Ovis aries: one gene and its partner. The protein of the gene in region 2 binds, or shares a complex with, the protein of the main gene of each other region. Links are inferred from orthologs where the notes say so. Each region holds a gene or a part of one and is shown on either strand. Other genes may lie near its edges. The genes, in order: AP3B1 and ARF1.

Region 1 (9,917 bases), on a different chromosome or scaffold from region 2:
TCTCACACCAATCAGAACAGCCATCATAAAAAAGAAAACTACAAATAATAAATGTTGGAGAGAATGTGGAGAAAAGGGGACTCTACTGCACTGGGAGCAGGAATGTAAACTGGTACAGCCAATATGGAGAACAGCACGGACTCCTTAACAAACGAGGAATAAAACTACCATATGACCCAGCAATCCCACTAGTGGGCATACACCCTGAGAAAATCACAATTCTAAAAGGGACATGTACCCCGATGTTCACTGCAGCACTATTTATCACAGCCAGGACATGGAAGCAACCTAGATGTCAATACAGAAGTTGTAGGGGTGGCCGGGGGGTGGGGTTGGGGGTGGGGGGGTGGGATGTGTGTGTATTATATTTATATATAGGAATATTATTCAGCCATAAAAAGAAACAAATTTGAGTCAGTTGTAGTGAGGTGGATGAACCTAGAATCTGTTATACTGAATGAAATAAGTCAAAAAGAGGAAAACAAACATGTATTAACACCTAGTGGCTCAGTCGGTAAAGAATCTGCCTGCAATGCAGGAGACCTAGGTTCAATCCCTGGATCAGGAAGATCCCCTGGAGAAAGGAATGGCAACCCACTCCAGTATTCTTACCTGGAGAATCCCATGGATAGAAGAGCCTGGCAGACTACAGTCCACAGGGTTGCAAAGAGTCGAATATGACTGAGCAACTAACACCTTCACTTTTCTTTCAACACATATATATGGAATCTAGGAAAACAGTGAACCTATTTACAGAGAAGACATGGAGACACAGAGGTAGAGAACAGACTTCTGGACACTGCTGGAAAGAGAGGCTAGGAGAAATTGAGAAAGTAGTAGCATTGACATTTATATATACTATCATTTGTAAAATAAGTTAACAACTGTCAGGAAGCTGCTATATAACAAAGGGAGCCCAGCCTGGTGCTCTGTGATGACTTAGAGGGATAGAACTGGGGGTTGAGAGGGGGAGGCTCCAGAGGGAGGGAATACAAACACACACACACACATATATAATTATGACTGATTCGTGCTGATGTGTGGCAGGGACCACCTCAAAACTGTAAAGCAATTATCCTCCAGTAAAAACATCACCACTGCAGACATTGTAGTAAAGACTGGTGCAGGAGATTCACACACAGTGGCTAAGTACAGGGGATGGTGGATCAAATGAAGAGCAGAACACCTGTATGATCTCAAAGTGTCCCCCCACAGGTAACTAGAAAAAAATCCTATAACGGGGAAAATTAACATTATAAAGGTGGGCACCCTATGCCTCCTGACACAAAAGTCTAAGAAGGTAGCAATGCAGCCTGGGATATTTAACAAGAGTCAAAACGTGAGGAAACACCAGCAAAGGCAAACTGATTAACATGCTATAAAGTAATTGGCTTGTGTTCTTCAAAAATATCAAGGCAGTGAAAGACAAAGGCTAAGTAACTATTCCAGTTTAAAGGAGATTAAAGAGATATGAGAACTAAGTAAACTATATAATCTTGGACTGGATTCTACACTAGAGAAAAAAAATGCTAAAAAAAATTAGAAGTATTTATTGGGACAAATGACAACACAGGATTATAGACTGTAAATTGTAATAATGATAAACTTCCTAACCCTAACAGTGCTGCAGTTGTGAATGAGAATATCCTTGTTCTTAAAAAATACATGCTAAGGTATGAGGATAAAGGGACATGGTGTATACAACCTGTTAGGTAAAAGACCAGGACACCAAAAGAGTGTCTAACAGGCTTTTTAATGGTGAAGCGCTCCCGGGCGGGGTTCCCGGACCCCAACGAGGCACGTCGAGGAAGTCCGCGCCCAGACCATGTTGGGGGTGGTTTTTATACGTTGGTTGCGAGGGATGGTCAGGCTAGATGGACCGGGATTCGGACAGGTCGCCAGGCCGAGGCATCGCGGGCTGACAGGTCCTTCTATGTGGCTGGGGTGGGGCGGCTTTAGCTGGTGAAGTGTGCTGTCATTGGTCCCAGGGATCTGGGAGGCTCCTTCCATTAGGGACTTCCCCTGCCGGTGGCAGGGAGAGGAGGGGCGGCCCATCATGGCCCCCGGGGTCCGGCCTTACTCAACCTATTCTCCAATGGATAAGAGATAATACGAATGTGTGTATGTCTGTGTGTGGATGGAGAAAGAAAGAGAAATAAAGCAATGTAGTGATTTTTTAAAAACTGAGCCTACATCAAGAGTAGTTCTCTATTATTCTTGCAACTTTTTTGCAAACTCAAAATCATTCAAAGTAAATCATCAAAAATGAGACCAGAGGTTGTGGGAGAAATGGGTGAAGAAAGTCCAAGGCACAAAGTTCCAGCTATAAAGCAAATAAGTCAGGAGGATATAATGTACACCATGGTAACTACAGTTAATAATATTGTATTACATATTTGAAAATCACTAAAAGCGAATCTTCAAAGTCCTCATTCGAGGGGAGGGGGGAACCAAACTGTAAGTATGGTGACAGATGTTAACCAGACTTGCTGTGGTGATAATTTCTCAATACATAAAAAAATCTACTGAACATTATGGTGTATATCTGAAATTAACATGTTGATGTCAATTATACTTTGATTAAAAAAATCAGAGTACAGGATTAGGGTAAGCTTGAAGTTTTTTACATAAATTTTGTCATTTGGGTTTTTTAAAAAGGCAAGAAATATCACATTTTTATAAATGAGAGAATGTAAGCTCAAGAGAGGTTAAGTGACCACTTCCAGAACACAGGTCCCTGTTTCTGTACAACTGCACTAGTTTGCAATTCAATGGCCAAAATGTTTCTAATTCCTGAAAGCCTCAAGGTCATACACTCTCTACGACTAGTAAAGTTTTAATGATTTGATTGCATTCTCTAATAAGATATAATTATTTCCTTCTCCAGGGGATCTTCCCCACCCAGGAATCAAACCCAGGTCTCCTACATTGCAGGCAGATTCTTTACTAACTGCAATACAAGGGAAGACCAAGGTACAATAAACGTTGTCAAGCAGCATATCCAAATACTCAAGAGAATGGGCTCTGAGATGAGACTGTGAGCTCAAACTCAGGCAGCTCAGTGTTCTAGTTCTGTTATCTTAGGCAAATTAACCATTTGTGCTCCAATTTTCTCATCTGCAAAGTGGAATCAAAGTATTTTTGGGTTGCTCTATATCCTCTGTGGCACCTCAAAGTTACAGAATAATTTTCCGTAAGTCATACTCACTCAGCCAGACCAAATGGTCAGGAGGACCAAATGAGATAATCAATGTAAAGTAGTGTGCAGAAGTACTCAAAGTCAGCTATTTTCATTTCAACTCCAACATGCTCAGTCACCTCAGTAACACTGGTCACAGTCAAAACCACACATTTTTTTCAATATTAGACCCAAATCTGACAAAATAGGAAATGAAAGGCTCTAAGAGGAAAACACCTTAGAAGTTCACAATCCATAAAAGTAGATCAACTGTAAGCATATCACATGTAAAACAGACTCTACAGACTTAAACATTAATTTAACAGTTGAAATTTCTGCTAATAGAACAACAGAACTGCAACAAGCTTCTTGTTGGAATAATCCATCATCTAAATGCATAGAAGGAAAAATGAAAAATTACTGAAGTTACATTACTTATAAACTTTGCTAACCTGAGAATAAGGAAATAAACAAAAAACTCTATTCCACACACTCCACACAGGTTTCAGTTAGCTTAATACAGTCAAAATGTAACCTCAACTTCAACTACTAGCAATTTCCAGAATGCCTTTTAAAATAATTTTTTAATTACATTAAATTTTAATCAAATAAATTATTTAATTAAATAAAATGAATTTTAATTTATCTTTCTGACACCGCAAGGCCACCAGCATAGCTACTTTACCTTAAGTTCAGCATAAATCTAGTGTTAGCCTATTATGTTCACTAAGTACTGAGAGATCAAAAATAAGAAAAAATGTAAAAATTATTACCAAAAAATGCAAAGTTACCAGAATTCTGTAAGTTTAAAATCACTCTCTCTCCCTCACCACACACACAAAAAACAATGAGCGGGGTGTTTTCTTTCCCTTTTTCGGTGGTACTTAAAATACTCGTAATAACTTTAAAAACACACACACGTATACATTATTTAGGGTTCATTTTTAAAATCCACATTATTTGCAAAATTGTGCCACTTGCCCACACTCTAAATATTCTCCTCATACGCTTCTTACTGTTTCCTAGCTTTGTTTTTTGGTTTGGGGGTTGTCTTATACTTTTGGTGGGGGGTTTTGTTTTTTCTTTTTTGGTCTGTAATGCAAAAGACATTTTCCGGGAACACTGGTGCCTGAATAAACCAGCTTGTTCATTCATAAAGCGCCTAAAACACCTCCTTGCTTCTACACTCAAGAGTCACAGAACAGGTTCCCATAAGACACAATCTAACTTTCCCTCTCAGCTCCCCAAACTTGAATCCTTCCACCCTAGAGAGAGAATTTCTCCAGGTGGCATCAAGCAAACTTTAAACTAGCTTGAAGTGTTTGCTCAAAATTCAGACTCCTGGGCCCCAGACCAGTCGGGGTCTTTGGGGATGGCACCTAAGCGGTCCCAATGGTTCTTTTTCACTAAAGTCTGAAAACTCCTAGAGAACCCCTCCACACACTCAACCCACACTCCCAACAACTCCCACCACTCCCAAGCGATAGCGCGGCAGGAAACGCCCGCTCCGCTCCCGGACGGTCTCAGGGCGACCCTGCCCCTGTCCCGGGAGCCCCAGCCCCTCAGTCCCGTCCCCACACCCCAAACCTTTCTCCTCACTTCTTCATATCGCTGCTAAAAAGGCCGAAGGCGCCGGAGGGGGAAATGGTTGAGGTCGCCTCCTGACCCAGCTCCGTCGCCTCCCCTCCTCCCGACTGCTCATTGTAAGCGAAGCTGTTGCTGGACATCGCCGCGGGGTCGCCGGGTGTCGAGCTGGTCCTGCCCGGGGTTCTCTCTGACGGGCTCCGGTCCCAGCGACTGGAAACAAAACTAGTTCTCGTGCAGAGGGGCGCGCGCAGGCGCTTCCGGACTCGTCACGGCTCCCAAGCCGACCCGGCGGGCCACCCCCTGCGCATGCCCAGTGTGCGTGCGGCCAGAGCCCACCCCCCGGCCACTCCCGGGCCGGACTGGAGTTCCCGCCTCCGGGCTTTTGAGGTAGCCGAGCGGCTCGAACCCAGCCTCTGCGCTAGGCAGGCCCTCAGCGGGCTAAAGACTAAGCTCTTTTTAGAGGTGGGGGTTTTTTTTGGAGACAGATACCCACGTATCCATTTTGGTCCCTTAGGAGATTCCCCGGGCCGGACACCTCTTTTTTTGGATTCTTGTTGTAAACCAGAAGTTTTCAGATTTCTCCTGAAACACCATTTAACACACCAGATCAACTTTGCTAAACTTAATTAGGACTGCTTTTCCTGTTTAGGCTGGTTTCTAATGCTTTCCCTCCAGCCTGCTGAGTCTTGCTGTTACTTCTGCCCCAGGCAATCTTTATGCAGAGCTCTGAGTTTTAAGGAAGTTTCTAAAACCCTGTCTTTCTGGGATCTGCCACCGCCAAGATGGGATCATTGTAGTTTCAAAGGAAAATCCTGGGGCCATTGGTTCCAAGGAGCTAACGGCGTGCTTCCTACTGGCGTTTAAAAACAAAAAAATAGAGCTGTCCCGAACACCAGAAGTAGCCCATTATCTGGGCACCTCTTTTTGTTCTTCTTGTGGTAGCACTTACTAAAGTTTTAAGGGGAGTCAGGCAGAAAGTTGCCTGGCTCCAGAGTAGCACGTGAGAAACTTTTTCAGGAGTAACTTGCCCCCCTCACACCTGATATTTCGGGTGGATTTCAGAGCATGCTGCGCACTATTTCCACTGCTTCCGGTTTAGGCAAGCTCCGAAACCTAGAGCCTGGAAGTTAGAAACTGTAAGGGGACTAGTGAAACACAGGGCTTCCCTCGTGGTTCAGAAGGTAAAGAATCCCCCTGCAACACGCGAGACCTGGGTTCCATCCCTGGGACCGGAAGTTCACCTGGAGAAGGGAATACCTATGCACTCCAGTATTCTCGGGAGGAGGCAATGGCACCCCACTCCAATACTTTTGCCTGGAAAATCCCATGGACGGAGGAGCCTGGTAGGCTGCAGTTCATGGGGTCGCGAAGAGTCGGACACGACTGAGCAACTTCACTTTCACTTTTCACTTTCATGCATTGGAGAAGGAAATGGCAACCCACTTCAGTGTTCTTGCCTAGAGAATCCCAGGGACGGGGGAGCCTGGTGGGCTGCCATCTATGGGGTCGCAAAGAGTCAAACTGAGCGGCTCACACACACACACACACAGTAAAACACAACCCATAGGGCCAGTGCGTGGGGCGGGTCCGAAGTGTATAAGGATCAGAATGTGGTCTTCACATCCTCTAATGGCCACAGTGAAAACAATAATCAGATATCACTACACATCTTCCCCGGTGGCTCAGCAGTAAAGCCTACAATGTAGGAGACCCAGGTTCAATCCCTGGGTGGGGAAGATCCCCTGGAGAAAGAAATAGCAACCCATTCCAATATTCTTGCCTGGAAAATCTCAGGGACAGAGGAGCCTGGCAGGCTACAGGCCATGGAATCTCAAAAAAGAGTAGGACACGACTTACTGACTAAACAACAGCACATACCTACTACTACTAAAATCACCGAAGTCCACAACACTAACAACACCAAACGCTGGTGGGGATATAGAGCACAAGAAACTCTCATTTGTTGCTGGTGGGAATGCAAAATGGTACAGCCACATTGGAAGATAGTTTGGCAGTTTCTTACAAAATTAAACATACTTTTACCATATAATCCACCAATTGTGCTCCTTCATATTTATCCAAAGGAGTTGAAAACATGTCCATGCAAAAACATGCACAGGTGTTTCTAGCATCTGTATTCATAATCACCAAAATGGAAAGCAATCAAGATGTATCTTCGGTGGGTAATTGTGTAACTAAAATGTGGCACATCCAGACAGTGGAATATTATTCAGCACTAAAAAGAGAGGAGATATCAAGCCATGAAAAGATGTGGAGGAATCTTAAATACACATTACTAAGTGAAAGAGGGGTTTCCCAGGTGGCTCAGTGGTAAAGAATCCGCCTGTCAATACAAGAAGATGCTGGAGATACAGGTTCAATCCCTGGATCGAGAAGATTCCCCTGGAGAAAGAAATGACAACCTACTCCAGTATTCTTGTCTGGGAAAACCTATAGACAGAGGAGCCTGGCGGGTTACAATCCATAGGGTACAAAGAGTTGGACATAACTTACCAACTGAGCATGCATCCCAGTGAAAGAAGTCAATCTGAAAAGGTTACATATTCTGTGATTCCAACTATATGGCATCTGGAAAATGCCAAACTATAAGACAGTAAAAGCATCAGTGGGTGCCAAGGATTCATTTGGGGAGAGGAGGGATGAATAGGCAGAGAAGAGAGGATTTTTAGGGCATTGAGAATACGCTGTATACCATGATGATGAATATGTATCAGAATACATTTCTCTAAACCCACAGAATGAATAACACCAGAGGTGAACCTTATAGACACTGTGAACTTTGGGTGATAATGATGGGTCAGTAAAAGTTCATCAGTTGTAACAAATGACCACTCTAATGAAGAGGCGGTGATGAGGAGGCTGTGCATGGCACCCCACTCTAGTACTCCTGCCTGGAAAATCCCATGGATGGAGGAGCCTGGTGGGCTGCAGTCCATGGGGTCGCAAAGAGTCAGACACAACTGAGCGACTTCACTTTCACTTTTCACTTTCATGCACTGGAGAAGGAAATGGCAACCCACTCCAGTGTTCTTGCCTGGAGAATCCCAGGGATGGTGGAGCCTGGTGGGCTGCCGTCTATGGGGTCGCACAGAGTTGGACACGACTGAAGTGACTTAGCAGCAGCAGCAGTGCATGTATAAGGGCAGGGCATATATGGGAAATCTCTATACTTTCCTCTCAATTTTGCTGTGAACCTAAAACTTCTAAGAAATAAAGTTTTAACAAAAATTAAGAGTTTAATTTTAAAAAGAAAAGCCACACTGTTAACATTGGTAACAAGCATGACTGCAGTTCTAGGTCCTCTAGTGGAGAGAGAAGAATGCCCTCCGTATTTCATATTCTGATCAAAACGTGGCAGGTTTTTTATTCATGTTTGAATATTCCTCCAGGGATGAGACAATGAAGCACTTAAAATGTGTTGTTGTCAATAATGATGATATTGATCGATCTATGGAGTTTAATCTACAGCTGATTATTCATGATGATAATGATGATAATGTTGATGATGATGGTATATGCTTAATAGATGGCTTCGGGCTTCCCTGGTGGCTCCGTGGTAAAGAATCCGCCCGCCAATACAGGAGACACGGGTTCAGTCTCTAATCTGGGTAGATCCCATATGCTGCAGAGAAACCAACCCGTGGGCCACAATGATCCTGTGCGCCAGAGCCCGCAAGTCGCAGCTTCCAAGCCACATGCCACAGCGACTGAAGCCTGCACACCCTGGAGCCCCTGCCCCACTGAAATGAGAAACCCATGCTGAAGGGTTAATGCGGCCACAATAAGGAAAGTGGAGATGTGCTGCTTGCAAACAAGATGTTCTGCCAAGGAGACGGACACAGCCTTGAGATTGATGGTCCCTTGCAAATAAGGGAACATTCCCTTCTTGTGATAAGGGCTCTGGACAGACTCTGCAGAAGGCCGGAATTTCACTCCCCTTTGCTGTATGATAACATGTATGCACCTGCGCTGTACTGAAAAGGCTTATTCATGCAGTCTGGAATTCTGCCTAGGGGGGCTTTATAATAATAAAGCCCAAATAGTTTGGGCAGTTCTGTTCTGTTCCTCCAGCCGGAGTGTGTACATGTCGTCTGTCCTTTGTGTGTGTCTTGTTTTATGTCATTTCACTCGTAATCTCCAACACCATGCACTGCAACTAGAGAGCAGTCCCCATTTGCCACAACGAGAGAAAAGCCTGTGCAGCAACAAAGACCCAGCACAGCCAAAAATGAATAAATAAATGAAATTATTTAAAAAACACTTAATATGTACCAGGCATAGAAATGACTTACGTATGTTAGTTCATTTAATAGTAAAAGAAACTTATCCGTGAAATGAGGACACTGATAATTGCATATCCTAGAGAATCTTTGGCATATATTTCTTGGCACAGAATGTCTTGGTTGTACATTGTATGTACCTTTACTGAATATCCTCAGTTGTTCTCCAATATAATTGTACCAGAGCTATCCTTGGTAGCTCAGACTGTAAAGAGTCTGCCTGCAATGCAGGAGACCCAGGTTTGAATCCTGCGTTGGGAAGATTCCCTGGAGAAGAGAATGGAAACCCACTCCAGTATTCTTGCCTGGGAAATCCCATGGCCAGACCATGGGGTCACAAAGAGTCGGACACGATTGAGCAGCTAGCATATAATTTTAACAGTTTACATTCCCACAGCAATGCATGAGAGATCTTCTTTCCTCACATTCTCACTAACACTTTCTTAAAAGTTTTCATCATCATCAATATGATAGGTATGAATATTGTTTTATTATACTTCATATTCATTTTCATATAATGAATCTGAGTACCTTTTAAAATTATTGTTCCATTTGCATTTTGTTTTCTGAGAATTGCACATGAACACACTTATTTGATTTTACATTAAGTAGTTTGCTTTTATTATGGATTTTAAGTTCTTTATTCTTGAGTCTGTTATGTTTAATTCACTGCTTGATTTTATTTGGTAATATTTTAATTTTTTCACGCAGACTAGTATCGGAAATTGAGCTACAATTTTTTACATTGTCCTTAAATGGTGTGAGTATTATGATTATATATTCCTCAAAATACTTGTTGGGTAATTTTTCTCTGGATTCATATGTACAGGATGCAAAATAAATATTCCTTT
Region 2 (8,491 bases):
TGTTCCCGCAGGCAACTCGCTGATGGCCCCGGTGGGCCGCTGGCAGAAGGGACGTGACCTCACTTGGTACGCCAAGGGCCGGGCGAACAGCGCTGGGCTGAGCCGGGAGCAGGAATTGGCGGCTGTGAGGCAGGCGGAACAGGAGGCGCTCATGGCAGCGCTGTGAGTGCCTCCGGAGCTTGAGTGGGGAGGCAGTTTGGAGGGCGGGGTGGGGGCGGGTGTTACTTCTGGGTGGGTGCGCGCCGGGGTTGGGTGGGATCGCGGCGTGGCTGAGGGAAGAGGTGAGGCGAGGCTCGCCGCTCCCTGAAGCTCACGCGCGGCCCCCGCAGAGGCTACAAGAACGTAAAGAAGCAGCCCACCGGCCTGAGCAAGGAGGTGAGATGGGCTCTTTTGGAGGGTGGGACTGGGTTGGGGAGGGGCCTGATCCCGCTCTCCAGTGAGCACTTGCACTCCCCTCCACAGGATTTTGTCGAAGTTTGTAAGCGGGAAGGTGGTGACCCCGAGAAAGGAGTGGACCGGCTTCTGGGTCTGGGGAGCTCCAGGTGCGGGGCCGGGGGGTCCTCGGGAGCCCCAGAAATTTCGAGGGTGCGGCTTCTTGGGGCTTGGCACTGTCAGCTGCCTAAGGCGGAAACCAGTACGGGTCATCTAGGCCAACCACTCCTCTAGGGAGGCCTGGGGATGGGGGGTGCCCCCTTGTGGGGACGTTTCACCATAGAGTGTTTTACCCGCGCCCCCGCAGTGGCTCTGTAGGGCGAGTGGCGCTGTCCCGGGAAGACAAAGAGGCCGCTAAGCTGGGGCTGTCGGTATTCACGGTAATTACTCCCAAGTATGCTGGGATCTCATGGTGGGGTGGGAGTCGGTCTGAGCGCCTCTTCCAGTTGAGGGCCACGAGGCAGGCCGTCTCCCCTTGGGGAGGCCCTCCCAGCTTCTGGCTGGTTCTTCCCTGTCGGTATGCTGGGGCACCCTGCACGCCCCCAGAGTGGCATTTCTTGGCAGCACCACCGCGTGGAGAGCAGTCGGCCAGGGACCTCCTTGGCTTTGGCCAAGAAGAAGCCTCGGTCAGAGGAGAAGGTGGAGCCGGGGTAAGGGCCCCCTGTCCCCTCCCAGGGCACAGAACTGCTTTCTCTCAGCGTGCTGGCTGCTTCTCCAGTCAGGGTCCCAGCTCCAGCCCCGTTTTTCTTCTGAGGAGCCCTGGGGGGCAGTGAGCCCTAGGGAAAGCTCCTGGCTGCCCACCAACCTGCAGCAGGGTCAGGGGCACTGGAGGGCGTCAGCACTTGGCCCCAAGAGTGCAGGGGCATCCCAGTGGGAGGGCTGGAAGCAGCTATGAGGTTGTCAGGTAGGTGCTGTCCTGCAGACTTTTTGCCATAGTCGTGTCTGTGCTGCTCACGGTAGCCGCTGGCCACACATGGTACTGAGTTATTCTTAGTGACTTGAGGTTGAAATGGCCACACATGGTCAGTGGCTACTGTGGTCTAGACCCGCCAAAGCCCCAGAGGCTTCTAGCACTCGTGCACTCCCCCCTGTAGTCCTGAAAGCCACAGGAAGAGCAGGAAAGAGAAGAAAAAGAAGAGGCACAAGAAAGAGAAGAGAAAGAAAGAAAAGGAGCATGGGAGAAGGCTGGATTCCTCACCTCCCCCTGCTCCCACCCAGTAGGTGCAGCTGCCTGGGGGTGGAGATGAGGGTGTGCTTGGCAGGCCGAGCCCCTCACCCCAGGCATCTCGCGGTCTCATTAGGCATGACTCTGACTCTTCAACTTGCTGCAAGAAGCGCAGGCACGACAGCGACTGAGGCCCAGGGGTCTGGAGGACTGGCCTGTGGGGGTTACCCCAGGCTCCCATAGAGGCTTGCAAGTCCCTCGGTCATGTCCAACTCTTTGCAACCCCGTGGACTACAGCCCGCCAGGCTCCTCTGTCCATGGAATTCTCCAGGCCAGGATACTGGAGGCTCAGTTGTGGTCCAGTATGGCTACTTCTATTTTTCTTTGTATTGACTCACTCTTTGTACTTAAATAAACTTATTTTAAGGGGAAAGTGTCTTATACTAACAGGAAAGTTGCTGTTGTGTCACAACAGAAAGTGACGTGTGAAAATGCAGTGAATCTTGGGAGTTCCAGCAAGGCCGTCTGCAGTCACACTGAGGGGCACTGTCCTTTTGGTGGTCAGCATCCTGGGGTCCCCTGTTGGCCTGGCCCCTGCATCTACTTCAAGTGTACCAAGAGCCCTGGACTATGTGTGGTCAGCAGGGAGGGCGGAGGGACCAAAAGGTGCTCAGCTGCAAGCAGGTGACCATGCTAGAAGGGGGCAGTCGGGCTGGGCATCTAGATCCTGGGGAAGGAGACTTGTACCTGCAGCCACCCTGTCTTCCTCGGCCACCAAAGATCTTCTAACCACTGTCCCACAGGTACCCACCCCTGCCCCCCTGCCTGCTGTAAAGGCCCTGGGTCCCTCCACCCAGCCACCTCCAAGGCTGAAGGCACACATACAATATTGCCATCCATAGAAAAAAAGAAAACATCCTACAAACCACACTGGAATAAAGACAAAACCTAGACTGGATTCATTACCTAGGTTCTTGTTTTGCTGCTGATTTTAAAAGAAATGAGAACTGAAAGCAACTCTGTCTTAAAGGCACTCGGCACTGGTTATCAACCTGTGACTAGGGTGGAGCCTGCCTCCTGGGGGAAGGCCACCTGGACTCTGGCCTACCAAAGGCTGCCCAGTGGGGAAAACAAGGGTCCCAAGAAGGGCTCCAGGTCAGAGGGGCGACCCCCGCAAAAGTGGGAGGGGGGTCTATGGCACAGACACAGATCACCCAGCCAGGCCTGTGTCAACTACTGAGGCAGCAACACTGGAGACTGTCCTGCCCCTCCAGAGGACAAGCTGTTTGGCCTGGGGGTACCAGAGACAGTGGATGTTAGGAAGGGTGTGTGTGTGGGGGGTCTCTTCCATACCAAGCTTGGCCCTGGCCCCTGGGGCACACCCTATATGGTGACCCTGCTGTTCCTCTCATGACTGGGCACTGCAAAGCCTGGGACCAGGGGGCTGGACTGCCAGCAATGAGACCAACGAGGTGGTTACTACCAGGGCACTGGAACATGCTCACATTGGACCATGGCAAAGTGAAGGTGGGGGCATGGGCAGGGAAGGGGTGAGCAGAGCGAGAATGGGGCAAGGCAGAGCCATGTGGCCCTCACTAAGTGAGCAAGAAGAGGCTGTCCTTGCCCAGCTCCCAGAGGGCAGGCTGTCAGGGGCACCCAAACACAAGAGAGCCATGAAATAGTTAAGAGATTTTATTCTAATAGCTGTAATTACAGTGCTTGTTTGTCGAAATGAAAACTGAAAACAAGTATACAAAACAGTTGATTACTAATTGTGTATTGAAAGCAGTAAGAGGTTCCACGACACCAAATAAACCAGCTCTGAGGTTTTCCCCAAGATAAAGTTTAACAGCTCCAGCTTCTTCAGTGTTTATCAAAATACAAAAGAAAAAAGTAGAGGTTATCATTTTCAATGGCAAATCTGACCCTTGCAGGCTGAGGGAGTGAAAGCACATGTAGACAGGGGCTCTGAGGGGCTGGGGCTCAAGGATGACCACCCGCACTCCTGCTGGTGAGACCCCAGAGAGCCCGGAGCAGGCAAGCAGGGGGGCTGCAGGCCTCCCGCTCCAGCCAGGGCGTTCCAACCAAAGTGCCCATGCTGACCCGAGAAAAGGCCGGGGTTCTTCCAAGGGGTCTGAGAACGGCGGCTGCAGCCTCCACCCCATCTCCTGGGCGGCCACGTATGCACAAATACAAGCACAAACGCTACGGGGGGTGGGAGGACCCGAGACAGAGCGAATCACAGGGACCCTACTGTGACCATGCAGAATGGGTATCACGGCTGGTTCTGCCCCGCTTCATGTTCCCAGCGGGAAACAGACCACCGGTGGACTGGACTCAGGCCGTCACCGCAGAACCTACATTAGGCACATTTCTCCCTTCTGTGTGTTCAAGTGTTCTCCTTATTTTGTATTTGTAACTATTTTAAAAAATGCACTGAGTTTGGGTTAAAAACCAACCACCAAAATGGATCTCAACACAGACCTAAAGCCCAGAGGAGGAGTATTGGGCTCGTCTGACACACAACTCCTGGATGACCCGTGTGCCTAAAATCCCTTCTGAGTACTAAACAGTGGGTTGATTTTCTTTTTACAATAAAAAAAGCTGAGTAATATTGCATAGGAGTACCAGAAACTGCCTCATTGGAAACAAAAACTATTTACATTAAATAAAAACCCAGTTGCAGGCTGCGTCTGCACATTTACAGCATGGTGAAGCACACTGTGACCGACCATGGAGACAGCTTCTGGCACTCACACCACAGGGGCACGTTTGCCACATGAGAGTAAAGCGAGGGTAGAAGGAGGGAGTGAGAGGGGAGGAGAGAGGATGACAGCTCATTTCTGGTTCCGGAGCTGATTGGACAGCCAGTCCAGTCCCTCGTAAAGCCCGTCCCCGCTGGTGGCGCAGGTAGCCTGTATGTACCAGTTCCTGTGGCGCAGAGAGTGTAGGCCCAGCTTGTCCGTGATCTCGGCCGCGTTCATGGCATTAGGGAGGTCCTGGGGGTGGCAGCACAGCAGGCGTGGGTCAGGGGGAGTGCATGGAACCCTTTCTACCTGACCTGTGGCCCCCCAGTCAGACCTCCAGCCCTGAGAGGCTGGCTGCCTGACGTGCACCCCCACTGGCACACAGGGTGTTCAGTCACACGTACCTGTTTGTTAGCAAACACGAGCAGAACGGCGTCCCTGAGCTCGTCTTCTGCCAACATCCTCATGAGCTCCTCGCGGGCCTCATTCACACGCTCTCTGTCATTGCTGTCAACCACAAAGATGAGGCCTGCAGAGGGGACAGTAAGCGTGACTGCAGGCACCCGGGACACCCCGAGCCCCACTCCTGAGGCGTGTAACGGGGCAGCTCACTCATACCTTGTGTGTTTTGAAAGTAGTGGCGCCACAGAGGCCGGATCTTGTCCTGGCCGCCCACGTCCCACACAGTGAAGCTAATGTTCTTGTACTCCACGGTCTCCACGTTGAAGCCTGGAAGAGAGCCGGGTGAGCCTATCCCCAGGGCCACCACCACCTCCCAGCCTCCCAAGGCCCAGCGTCCTCACCAATAGTGGGAATGGTGGTCACAATTTCACCCAGCTTCAGTTTGTACAGGATGGTGGTCTTTCCCGCAGCATCTAGGCCCACCATGAGAATGCGCATTTCTTTTTTGCCAAAAAGGCCCTTGAAGAGGTTTGCAAAGATATTCCCCATGCTGCACACCGGTGGGGGCAACACTGGCCAGAGAAACCTGCAGGAACAAGGAGTCCTGGGGTCTTTTTCTGTGCTGCCCAGGGCCAGGCAAGCAGGAGCAGCTCAGAGACCGCTCACCCAGAGCCAGGCTGAGGCAGCTGCTCCTCTCACAAGCTGATGAAATTCTGGTTCCTATCCAAAAGAAAACGGTCCTGCCCACCTACCTCTTGAGCCTCTAAATCAGCCTAACAAGGCAGCATATGGGACTCTTAGAACAAGGCTGACTGGAATGTGAAGCGGCTGCTCCATCATCTGAGGAACTTATAGCCAAGGCCTGAGGGCACCTTACCTCTAAGTCCTCCAACCCGCCACTCTGGGGTGCAGTAGTGTGGCTTTCAAATGGACGCTAGGCTCTCCATAACCTAATGCACAGTTCTTCAAGGGGCCAGAAACAACCACTTCAAGGCCCTACCATGTCTCCCAACTGCCCCAAGTCTCGATGAAGCAGAGTTCAATGGTAAGACAACTAACACCTGAGAACCTAGGAGGGCCCTGGCCAAGACCAGGAGCCAGCCCTTCCCAACATGCTGAGAGCTCAGCACACCCTGCAGGCAGGACTGGCTGAGTGAGAACACCCAGGGCTCAAGAGCAGCACACCTGCTGCTCAGTCCAAGAGTATTCAGCCCAAGGGTGAGCCCACAGCATGGCCACGTTAGGGAGCACCTTGCCAAGACCTGTGGTCAGCGCTGGTCGGAGAGGTGGCCTGCGCGGTGCAGCCACGAGTGTGCAGAAGCGCACGAGTGTGCAGACGCGCACGAGCGCTGTGTCTGCACCGCCCCCCACCCCCCGCCAGCTCGCCTCACTCAGCAGAGCAGACTGGGAGCAGCCACTGAGCTGACTGGACCCCAGGTCCGAGCCCAGGCCCCGACACCCAGACCTGCAGGAAGGGGTGAGTGATCACAGAGGTGGGGATCTCTTGTACTGGAAGACCCACATATGGCCTCTCCACACTCAGTATATTCATCCTTCAACTATTTTATTTCCAAACAGGGCTTTAGGAAAAAAACAGTCACTTTCTCAAATGCTTAGGAAATCTGGACTTAGCACCTAAGGTGAAGTCAAGCTGTGGAGGGCTGAGCAGCCTTCAACTGGGCAGATTCTGTGCGAGTGTTGACAGAAAACCAAATCAACCACAGAGAGCTTGTTCTAAGCTGATGGGAGATGCTCACACCTCATCACTGGGAGGGTGCTGGTGGAGGCTATTGTTGAGGTTGGGAAGGAGTCTTGCCCTGCATACCTAACCTCCCAGAAGTAACTATGAGCTTCCCAGTGTTTGAACTTTGGATGGATACTGCTTGGGTAAGAGGCCAGTTCCACGGAGGACGCAGATACGGGCCTGCCACAGGCACTCCCCCCTCCATTCTACGTAGGGGTTGTGCCCCAGACCCCCACCACCCCACGTCAACTCTGATGACAGGCTCACGTGGAGCTGCCAGGTCTCCATCGTAAGCCCCTTTCTGCCTTAGCCATCAGGGAGCATCTGGGGACTATGTACACGTTCCGCTTCTCATCCAGCTTCCACCCTCTAGTTTCAGCATGCTGACATTTCCTGGCTGAATTACTGCCATCAGGACTGTTCTAACGGTGGTTTTCTACAGTCATTCCTTCCAGCGTTAGTTAGCCTTCTACCCAAGGAACCAGCACTCTCTCCTCCATACACTGACACGGTGTGAGCTTGGGAATTCCCAGTTTGCTCAGTGGGTCAGACCGCCGCCCCACTGTGACCTAGATGCGCCAATGGCCTTAGGGGCATCCAGCGGAGCCCCTTCTAGCAGGCCTCAGTGCTCTTTCAACATTTTAAAGTTCTTTTTGGTTTTGAATAATATTACCTATTTATAAAATTAACATTTAAAAAAGATCTTTACTATGGTATTTCCTTTTCGGCAGACAACCACTTTTCCTAAATATAGAGGATGATAAATTATGGAAAACAGAATGAACTGAACGCGTATTTATCTCAGCTTATTTCTGAAGTCACTACCAATAAAGAAGTAAAGGACCGAGAGCAGGTGCAATTCTGGTGGGGTCTGGCCCTGGCCAAGCATCATCCTCAGCCCTGCAGGAGAGCCAGGCGACCTTTTTGGAGCAACTGAATCAGGGGTCCTCACTCTGCTCTCCAGTCAGAGGAGGGCACAGGGTGCACTGTTCTGGAAACAGAGGAATATGGCGAGATCAACAGGGAGGCACCCTGCCGCCACAGACCTGCACACAAGACATAGAGGCCTCAAGGCCGGGACTGAACTCTTACACCTGGAGGCCCCCAAACATCCATGCCCCTATCTCCCTGTAAGAAGCCCCCAGTGGAACTGACTGAAACAAAGAATTTGGAGAGAAACAAGACAGAAGAGAATTTAAAAAGAAAAGTAAACAAACAGAACCCCCAAGCCACACACCGCCCTAGCACCAACGTGGTGGAGACGTGGAGCCCATCAGACAAGAACAGGGCGTCAGGACAGACACGGCAGAGCTCACAACCAGCGTGAAGCAATCCACACATGCACGAGCCTCAGAACAGGGAGACCGGGAGCAACGTAGAAGACCAACATCTACCCTGAGTATGATGATGACTTTTCAGACACAACACCAAAGACATGATCCCATGAAAGAAAGAGCAGCCATTCTGAAAAATGTTTGGAGGTTTCTTACAAAAGACTCTGAACATGAAACTCAGCCCTCATGTTCCCAAAGTGGCTGCAAACGAGCAACCACACAGACACCTGCACACTGATGTTCACAAGCCTTATTCATGATTGCCACAACCTGGAAGCAACCATGATGTCTTTCCGTAGGTGAATGGATAAACTGTTTGGTAAATCCGAACAACAGGATGTCATTCAACACTAAAAGAAAAGTGCTAATATACAGATAAGTGTACATTATTATTATAGTATAAATGTGCATTGAGTGAAAGAAGCCCATTTAAGAATACTATACAGTGTATGATTCCAACTACGTGACATTCTGGAAAAGGCAACTGTGGAGAGAGTAAAAGATCCTTTCAGTGGTTCTGAGGGGTCAGGGGGAAGGGAGGATGAACAGGTAGAGATAGGGCATTTTTAGACAGTGAAACTATTCTACAATGGTTGATACATGCCATGATACATTTGTCCAAACCTAGAGAACGCACAGTACCAGGAGTGAACCCCAAGATCAAGTA

Evidence for each region.
Region 1: the proteins of ARF1 (region 2) and AP3B1 are in contact, whole or in part, in a cryo-EM structure (PDB 9C5B), measured with the Homo sapiens proteins. The link is inferred for Ovis aries from reciprocal best matches to the Homo sapiens genes ARF1 and AP3B1. Residues at the interface, in NP_001019397.1 of Homo sapiens: Glu17, Arg19, Tyr35, Ile46, Pro47, Thr48, Ile49, Gly50, Phe51, Asn52, Val53, Glu54, Lys73, Ile74, Leu77, His80, Tyr81, Asn84; in NP_003655.3 of Homo sapiens: Glu52, Asn54, Pro81, Val84, Lys85, Val87, Ala88, Asp111, Leu112, Leu114, Leu115, Ile117, Ser118, Thr119, Gln121, Arg122.

What each region holds. Positions count from the first base shown.
Region 1 is NC_056060.1:9,381,537-9,391,453, forward strand, and holds the start of AP3B1 (AP-3 complex subunit beta-1), read right to left. Parts: upstream 5,053-9,917; 5' UTR 4,906-5,052; coding exon 4,778-4,905; intron 1-4,777. UniProt on the Homo sapiens protein: Subunit of non-clathrin- and clathrin-associated adaptor protein complex 3 (AP-3) that plays a role in protein sorting in the late-Golgi/trans-Golgi network (TGN) and/or endosomes.
Region 2 is NC_056058.1:2,766,736-2,775,226, forward strand, and holds ARF1 (ADP-ribosylation factor 1), read right to left. Parts: upstream 5,296-8,491; coding exon 5,148-5,295; intron 5,074-5,147; coding exon 4,963-5,073; intron 4,874-4,962; coding exon 4,749-4,873; intron 4,597-4,748; coding exon 4,435-4,596; downstream 1-4,434. Other genes in the region: C5H1orf35 (multiple myeloma tumor-associated protein 2), read left to right, coding at 12-162, 330-375, 463-542, 740-1,082, 1,527-1,532. UniProt on the Homo sapiens protein: Small GTPase involved in protein trafficking between different compartments. Modulates vesicle budding and uncoating within the Golgi complex. In its GTP-bound form, triggers the recruitment of coatomer proteins to the Golgi membrane.